2 linked regions of the Nothobranchius furzeri genome follow. The protein of the gene in region 1 purifies or fractionates together with the protein of each later gene. This does not show direct contact. Links are inferred from orthologs where the notes say so. Each region holds a gene or a part of one and is shown in the gene's direction. Other genes may lie near its edges. The genes, in order: srp9 and srp54.

Region 1 (4,466 bases):
TTGGCGTTTCTGGTTGAGGCCTTGTGGAGGGTGAAGTATGGAGCGTCCAACAAGTCCGATGTAGCTCGTGAGGTGACAGCAGTGGCGGGGGTTTTCTGACGTGTCCCCCGAGGAGGTTTGGGGTGCAACGTGTTTGCGGGATGTTGGGGGTTCTTGGTCTGCTGAGGATTGTGGGACGCCCTTGGTGGTGGGTGTAGATGGTGGGGCTGGGAGTGTGAGTATGGGGTGAACCTCCATGTGGGGTTGTGTGTTTTCACTGGGGTGTGAACGGGTGGTGGGTTTTTGTTGGTGGTGGTTGTGTGGGAACACGGGGTGGGATGGTACTCGTGCCTGTTGTGTGCAGTGGGTTGTGCTGGCTCAGTGTGTTGGCTGGTGTGGCAGCAATACGCTTTATAGGTGTCTAGCCTGCCTAATTTCAAAGAAGAAGAAGAGACACACGGGTGTTTAAAAGGGCAACATGGAGGTCCCTGAGGATCAGGGTTGGGAAACACTGGTTTAGACTGTACAGTTACCCACTGTATATACGTATTTGTCTTGCTTTTATCAACTATTTTCAGCTTGAATAAATTGAAGAGTTCCTTTGTGAGCAGCGGAAACACTTCCTTTATTTGGTTCAACATAAAATCACCCATGCTGCTTTAATGTAAGTGGATACAAACCAACATTTCATCAAAGTCTGAAATCTCTAAGCTCCTCTGTATACCACTAGCTAGAAAACTGGCTGCTCCTTTTGAAACCTAAAAACATTTAAAAAGAAAACAAAAATGTGTCACCACAGAATATCCCACTGATTGTTCCTACATCAGGTATAGACAACAGAGTAGCTTATGAGAACAACTCTGAGGCCTGGCTGAAGTGGCTGAGTCTTAATTTCCACTAATGATGGTGATGCATCCTTTTCAGCAGTTTTAGTAACTTTGTGGTTGGATGGTCCTCACTTGGAGAAGCCCTCTGTAACGTGTAGAGAAGTGCGTCGTCGGCAATTAAACGCAAGTTGGCACTCCTGTAATAAATAAATAAATAATAATAATAATAATAATAATAATAATAATAATAACAATAATAATAGAGACCATTTGGTCAGTGAAGAAAAGTTCGTACAGCTGTTTTAAACCTTTGACAGTTTCAAAAAAAGAAAAAGAAACTTTTCCGGCATACGACACGTTCATTCAAAATAAAAGTCGTCTGACTCTAACGAGAATGTTCAGAAACGTTAAACTGAGATTAATGTTGTAAGGACTTGTGCATCAGACGGAGACAGACAACTATTAATTTAATCGTGATGCAAGATAAAAGTGTCAGTAAAGTGGCGATGATCGATTAATTTAAAATGACTTGACTTGAAGTGGCTTATTTTTGGTGTACTTTTACTTTGAAAAAAGGTTGATCGACGGGTTTCCGTATCCTCTTATCTGAAATCTGATAGGCTGCTGCGGCTTTGCTGCTGATGTGGGTTTTTTAAGTTAGCTTGTCGCTTCTCCGTTGCTTTAACCCCACATTCTGATCTAACTCTGTACGTTTGGGGAAATAATGCCTTACTATCAGGTCTGGGAGGAGTTCGCTCGCGCGGCAGAAAAACTCTACCTGGCAGATCCGATGAAGGTGAGTTCGTGTGTTTTAGCACACGGAGCTAGCTTGTTAGCCACATGATGGTGTTGGTTCTGAGCGTCATGCCAGAATTCCTGAACGCGTTTTTGTTGTTTTTGCAGGTCAGAGTGGTCCTGAAGTATCGACACTGCGACGGTAACCTGTGCATCAAAGTCACCGACAACGCTGTGGTGAGACAAACGAAGGAAACAGAACGATGTTCTGCTGTTTGTGTCAGGTTTACCCCAGCGTCCACCTTGTGTTGATTTAAAGTTCAGCAGACGAAGTAAAGCGACTCCACTCCTAGAGATGCAGCGCTTCAATAAGGGTGACAGGAGGAAAACGTCGGTTAAGTGTTGTAACCCCATATTCTAGTTTAGCCCTTTAAAGCGACGCCTATTGGATAATCCCTTCCTTATCCAATCACTGAAGAGCTTTCATGTACGCCAGCCCGCCTATGGTGGGTCCCATCCTGATCCTATAAAAGGTCAGTGACCACAAAACGTAAAGCCTGACTCATGCTTAAGCAAATGCACATTTGCGCCCCCTGCTGCTGCGTCGTATCCATCGACATATATATACTGGACAATTCATTTCCATAGGCTCCAATAACATGTTTTTGAGGCTAAATGGGAGGTGGCCACCACCGCCATCTTGACCGTGTCACTTGTTCAGTCAAGCCCCGACAATTCCACAAAAGGGAAGAGAGGAGGAGCTGAGGGTGGGGCTGTAAGGCTGGGATCAACTGACGACACCCGGTCGAACTAGCTACAAGCTAACCTGAAGCTAACCCAAAGCTAACGCGGAGGTGGGAGCTAAGCTAACGGAGGTAGCAACCTAGCTACAACCGGAGTTAACTGTGCACAACACCAGAGCTTCTGAGTCAGAGATACGCCGGGCTGACCGCTGGGGAGAACCGGGTGGAACACAGAGGTCTCCGAGAGCTCCACAAGCCGATAGTGGGAACCCAGCTCCACCAACATGTTATATTTCAACCCATTTTCTAAAGTGCAGCATTATGTTAAATGCACTGGGTTTTACCCTATTACATTTAAATTTCATGGTTAAACAGTACATGTTAAAATCTAAGCTCAGCTCGGCAGTGACCTAAAATACATAAATATAATTTTACTTACCGAAAAAAATGAAGTGGAGACTCCTTGGACGCTCTATTAGTGCAATTAATGCCACAGCAAGTCATTTTGTCCAACAATTGCACAAATAATATCCAAACAAGAATACACAAACACAGAGACTCAAAATCCCGGAGCAGTTTCCAGGCCAGACCGAGGCTCTACTGAGGCCTTTCCCCGGAGCTAGCTCTGTGGTCACGTGGGTCTGATGCTCATTAATTATACAGAATTTTAGGCTTTTAATACACTTAAACAGAAGAGTGAGAAAAACATTCACCCCCCTCAGAGTTGTCATGAGTGTAAACTAGATCATTTAAACCAAAAACATGTTCTGGTACCAGGCTGTAAACATGTTTATTTCTGCTGTGAAATTGGTATTTTTAACATGGGAGTCAATGAGGATTTGCTCGCTTCTGACACCAGCCCCTAGTGGATGAGGGTGGAACTGTAATTTTTGGTACCTCCGGGTTTGACTCCATTTTTGAGCCACATGGTGGGGGCTTGGTCGTATCTCCTCTAATCATACTGGCCCGACCCTGTTGCAAAGAAATTCTCCGCCAAAACAACAGATTTTGTCTTTGGCTTTCTTTATGTTTTTGAGGGGCCAATGGCGGCGCTGTTGACGACAGCGACATGCTGACTAATCGCAAGCTTGCGTTCTCTGTCTCGTTGGATGGATGTTTAGGGAAGTGGGCTCGACTCCGTCTGTCCTTGTGAGCCTGCTGGTAAACCCCTGCGTGGACGGACAGTGGCGTTGCGTGTGTCTGCGGCGAGAGATGCACACGATGTTTTGCTTTCAGACTCCTCCATCAGCTGAGGATTGTTGCAAAGCAATTCCCCTCCAGGACAGCAGAGGGCGTACCACTATTCTGAGGTATCCTGCCACCATTAGTCACATTTCCGGTCCATGATGGTGTACTTACTGTTGTGTTTACATTGTTATATTTCAGAGATTTTGTCCCTCAGTCCTCTCCACCTGTTCATACAGTCGGGGCCTCTAAACTCGCGGTTCTTGTCTTCTCCGTCTACAAATAAAACACCCGTTGCATATTTTTGTACTCCTTCAGTCGCGGGCGAATAAACGCGCATATTTTTTTCCGCGATGCGTTTTTCAATCTTATCCGTGTCTGCCACTAAATATCTTTAATTTTTGAAGCCACAATGACTGTGCTGTTGATGAAGTGACAGCGTCCTCCTGACCAATCACAAGCTTGCGTTCTTTGTCTCTTTCAACAGACACTCTAGGCTCTAGGGCATGTTGATGATCTTTCACCATCGGTGACGGTTTGTTTCTGTTTTCAGTGTTTGCAGTACAAAACAGACCAGGCTCAGGACGTGAAGAAGATCGAGAAGCTGCATGGGAAACTGATGAGACTTATGGTGTCCAAGGAGACGCACAGCGGTGCCATGGAGACTGACTGAGAGGCTCTGGAGCTCCTGGACTGAGCTCAGTGGGCACGGTGCATTTCAGAAGCACCAGGATGAGGTGGGATGGTGGTGGTACCGAGGAGGACACGTGGGGACATATGTCCGTCTACACCGATGGAAGACGTGTCTTCATTACTGTTTGTTTTCTTCCCTATTTTAAAAAAATTGCAACGCTAACTGATTTTCTGTTCTGAAGGGTGTTGAGGAGCCCCCCCACACACACACATCCACACTCAGCCACTGAGAATGAGGAGAATATGTGGAATAAAAGTTTATTTTCTCTGGTACAACAGACCCGATTCTTGTGTTCACCGGGGC
Region 2 (4,511 bases), on another chromosome or scaffold:
TGGGACAGAAAATGGGACATGAGAGACTTCTGAAGTGTTGAATAAACTCACAACAAAGAATCACAGATGTTAATATTTCTCACTCTAGATTCTCCGGGTCAAAAGTTCTGAATTACTTATTGAATAAAAATAATTCAAACGGTTTCTAAAAGTACATAAAATGAGCTTTCCAACGAGGTACATGATGTAATTCATGTTACTCCAAAAATCGCTATCAGAAGGAAACCAGCTTTGCAGCGTCACAGAAAGAAACGGAGCGAACCGCGACGGGAGAGCAGAGAACCAAAGGGAGGAGACAGTCTGATCATCTTCATCAGCAGCTTTTATAAAGTTATGCAAATAAAATCCACCTGGTTGGTCAGGTGTCCCAGAAGGCTGTTTCTGTAGATGGTGACATGAGGAGGGACAGATTACTGTCACACTGGTTTTTATTTGAACACTCAACTGTTTACTAAATGATTCAGCTTCATTCCAGCATTATTTATACGTACAATAAATATTTATTTAGCTGAAAATATAATGTTATCAGTGCAGAATTTTATTAGTTGACTTTTTGTAATGAAATGTTTAGATTTAACCTTTTATCTGCTTATTGATCTTCATAATGCTGGTAGAAATGTAGCTACAGCTGTGAAGTAGCCCATGAGTGTTATTTTATGATACCTAGTATTTATGTTACTGTATCCCGTTCTCTGGACCAGAGTATAGACCTGTGGTCACAGACAGTCATTAAACTGGTAATTGTGAGGTCAGGGGTCACACTTTTTTCTGAGTGTTTGCAACACAGTTCTGAGTTTAAATACCGGTAGTTCTTTTGACATAGTTTGCTCAAGTCATTTTGAAGTTCCTGTTTAGTAATAAATGTAAAGAAAATTCAATTCTGTTTTTTTTTTCATTTAAGCTGCAGTTTTACAGACTTTAATAAACATAAACACTAAATACAAACAGACACTGAAAGCTGAGGTTGTTCTGAAAAAAGGAGCAGAGTTACAAACATTTTACACTTTTTGTTACAATTTTAAAGCCATAAAACAAAATAAACTGTTATATTTATGGTCATAAGAGGGTTAAACATGATAAATTTTCCACCTCCCACAAAGAGATGGTAAAAGTGAATGTGAGCATAAATATATACATTTCATTACTTTATTATGTATTTTTTATTATTGACAATTACTCCAAAGGGTTCAAATAAAGGCAACTGGACTTCTTTGGTTTCTTTAAAACGTTTCACTTCTCCTCTGAGGAGCTTTGTCAGTTCTAACTGGAATATGGGAGAGCCAAGCTTATAAACTGTAGCTGTCCGTTGTTATTTAAAGAGCAGAAACTACTCTGAGTACCCCGCCTCTCCATCTCCTGATGAGTCGTTAGCCTCTATTGATGGTGAGTCATCGTGTTGATTAGATGCAGGAAGGTGTGACCTAGACTGAAATTGAATGAGATCCAAAGCTGCGTACTGGAAAGGTGAAACCTAAGCCCCGCCCCTATTTAAAGTGGGGTTTTCCATGTTTTACATCGATAGCTTCTTTTACTCCTCTCTCAAATCATCTATCTTCTCTGTCCAGAATGTGGACTTTGTCATCTTCAAAGGTGTGTCCCTTGTCCTTCAGGTGAAAGTGGACTGCAGAGCTTTGACCTGAAGAGGTGGCATTTTTTCATTTATCACTCAAATTGTATCCTTCCGTGTGTTCAATAAAGTTTTTAAGTCATGACGTGCTCTGATCACGTGGCACTGTGTTTCCGGTTGAGTAGATTTTTAGATGACGCTTTTCTGGTGGAGTCTGGTTAATCTTTGACACTCGGTAAGACTCCCAAACTTCATATTTATCTGTCTGATTCTCCGTTGCGGTATTTTACAATCCTTATTCATCTAGCCGCTTGAATATTTAAATGTGTTGCTTCAACCATTTCTGTCTAAATTCACGAGTAACGGCTGAATGTCTGCTAGTGCTTGCAGCTAACTGCTAATGTTAGCGCAGCTGTAAACATCTGAAGTGTTTGAAGCAGCTGTCTGAAAAAACGAACCGACAGCATGCTTTTCGATGCGTCTGACGTTGTGTTGTTCTGGGTAAAGATGTGTATTGTTTACCAATGTTTGTTTGCAGTTTTCATTGCAATAATAACTAGTTTCATTAAGCAACCAGACTGTTTTTTTGCACAATGCTTTATACAAACTGGTGTAGCACGGTGATTAAACACGTAACAGGTGGGAAGAATTCAGTTGGAAGCAGCAAAAAGAAAATCTACCAGCTCTGAAACCAGCAGTGATAATAGTCTTATGAATAATAGTAATAATTATTATAATAAATCAATTGAGGAACTTTATAAACAAAAAAGTATTCACATTAGAGTTTAGTTCTCAGTAAACTCAGGTAATCTGAAAACAACGGAGGCAATCATAATTAAAATCTGATAGTATTCAAAGGGTACTAAAAGATAATTTAAAACTTAAAATAAAATAGTCTAAAATAGTAAAGTAAAATACTGGAGACAAATAAAAAATCACCTGGATATCAAAGGTATTGACTTACTCTCTAGTAATTTCTTTCGTATTATCGTTGCTGCAGGCCCTTCTGTGTGATGTAAGCTGTTTAAGCAAAACAGGAGAGGCGAGGCGGGGGACAATATTGAGTTCGAGTGGGCCATGTGCCAGGCTTCCATTGTCGGAGTGGTGGTCGCAGGGTCGTAGGTGCCTGTCATGGTAGCAATCCCAGAACCTTCTGGCGATTAGGGATGCCATCAAGCTGAAGAAAATCTTTTTGGCCTGTGGGACTCCAGACACAGCTGAACCGGCAGTCCAAGCGGAATGTGGCCTGTGTGTCACTGGTCACCAAGGCAAAAACCCGGGCGTGGGGGGAGTTCGGTGAGACCATGGAGCAAGACTTCCATGCGGCTTTGAGGAGATTCTGGTCTATCATCCGGCGCCTAAGGAGGGGAAATTAGTGCGCTACCAACACTGTTTATAGTGGGGATGGTGTGCTGATGATATCGACTCGGGATGTTGTGAATCGGTGGGTGGTGGAGTACTTCGAAGACCTCCTCAATCCCATCGGCACGTCTTCCAGTGAGGAAGCAGGGTCTGGGGACTTTGGGTTGGACTTTCCAATCTCTGATGATGGTCACTGAGGTGGTCAAAAAACTTCTCAGTGGCAAGGCTCCGGGGTGGATGAGATTTGCCCAGAGTTGCTTTCCGCATTGCCGGCAGTAAGTTGTGCTTGTTTCTGGTGAGAGTTGGACTCCGCCAAGGCTGCTCTTTGTCACCTATTCTGGATTTCTAGGCACAGCCAAGGTGTTGTTCAGGCGATCCGTTTTGGTGGTCTAAGAATTGATTCTGGTTTTTGCAGATGATATGTAGCCTAGTGAACTAGACCAAATTCTTGCTTTGCAAAGAATGGTCTAGGCATGCTCCATTGGAACCTCAGCAGCTCCTACCAGGACTCTGGCTAGCCAATCACAGCTCTCTAGAGGGGTTTCAAACACATAAAGAGCTGTGATGGGCCAATCATAGTGCTCTATCTGCTTAGTGAACAAATCACAGAGCTTTATCCGCTTTGTGGGCCAATCAGGGCACTCTATATGCCTGGTGGGTGGGATGATGCAACAGAGTGAAACAAGAGTATGTCACATTCTTTGTCCAGTGGAATGCGGAGATCATTTGAAAGACAACGGTAGAACCCGCCCCACAACCGAGAGCCGTCAATGGAGCATGGCCAGACTAAATAATACATTTATTTAGTCTGGCTTGCCAGGCTAGATGATATGGTCCTGTTGGCTTCATCAGAGCGTGATCTTGGGCTTTTGCTGGAGCGGTTCGCAACAGAGTGTGAAGCAGCTGGAAAGAGAATCAGTTCCTCTAAATCCGAGACCATGGTTTTGAGTCGGAAAAGGGTAGAATGCCTTCTCCAGGTCAGGGATGAGGTCCTGCCCCAAGTGGAGGAGTTTAGGTATTTCAGGGTCTTGTTCACGAGTGAGGGAAAGCTGGAACGTGAGATCGATAGGCGGATTGGTGCGGAGTCTGCAGTGATGTGGGCGTTTTACCGCTCTGTCGTGGTGGAGATAGCTGAGCCAGAAGGCAAAGCTCTCGATTAACCGGTCGATCTATGTTCCTACCCTCACCTATGGTCACAAGCTTTGAGTAGTAACCAAAAGAATAAAATCAAGGATTCAAGCGGCCAAAATGAGTTTTCTCCGCAGGGTGGCTGGGCTCTCCCTTAGAGATAGGGTGAGAAGCTTGGTCATCCTGGAGGGGCTCAAAGTAGAGTCGCTGCTCCTCCACATCGAGAGGAGCCAGTTGAGTTGGCTCAGGCATCTGGTCAGGACGCCTCCTGCATGCCTTCCTGATGAGGTATTCCAGGCACGTCCAACCGGGAGAACGCTGGAGGGACTATGTCTCTCGGTTGGCCAGGGAACGCCGTAGGATTCCCCCAGAGGAGCTGGTCCAAGTGGCTGGGGAAAGGGAAGTCTGGGCCTCCCTGCTTAGGCTGCTGCCCCAGCCACCCGACCCCGGATAA

What was found.
Region 2: the proteins of srp9 (region 1) and srp54 purify together in Homo sapiens (co-immunoprecipitation; 4 studies listed by BioGRID and IntAct, counting the BioPlex papers as one, with this or other methods). This does not show direct contact. The link is inferred for Nothobranchius furzeri from reciprocal best matches to the Homo sapiens genes SRP9 and SRP54.

What each region holds. Positions count from the first base shown.
Region 1 is NC_091742.1:28,143,303-28,147,768, forward strand, and holds srp9 (signal recognition particle 9 kDa protein), read left to right. Parts: upstream 1-1,400; 5' UTR 1,401-1,530; coding exon 1,531-1,602; intron 1,603-1,709; coding exon 1,710-1,778; intron 1,779-4,022; coding exon 4,023-4,142; 3' UTR 4,143-4,438; downstream 4,439-4,466. UniProt on the Homo sapiens protein: Component of the signal recognition particle (SRP) complex, a ribonucleoprotein complex that mediates the cotranslational targeting of secretory and membrane proteins to the endoplasmic reticulum (ER).
Region 2 is NC_091758.1:16,489,480-16,493,990, reverse strand, and holds the start of srp54 (signal recognition particle subunit SRP54), read left to right. Parts: upstream 1-1,703; 5' UTR 1,704-1,802; intron 1,803-3,162; exon of another isoform or gene 3,163-3,204; intron 3,205-4,511. UniProt on the Homo sapiens protein: Component of the signal recognition particle (SRP) complex, a ribonucleoprotein complex that mediates the cotranslational targeting of secretory and membrane proteins to the endoplasmic reticulum (ER).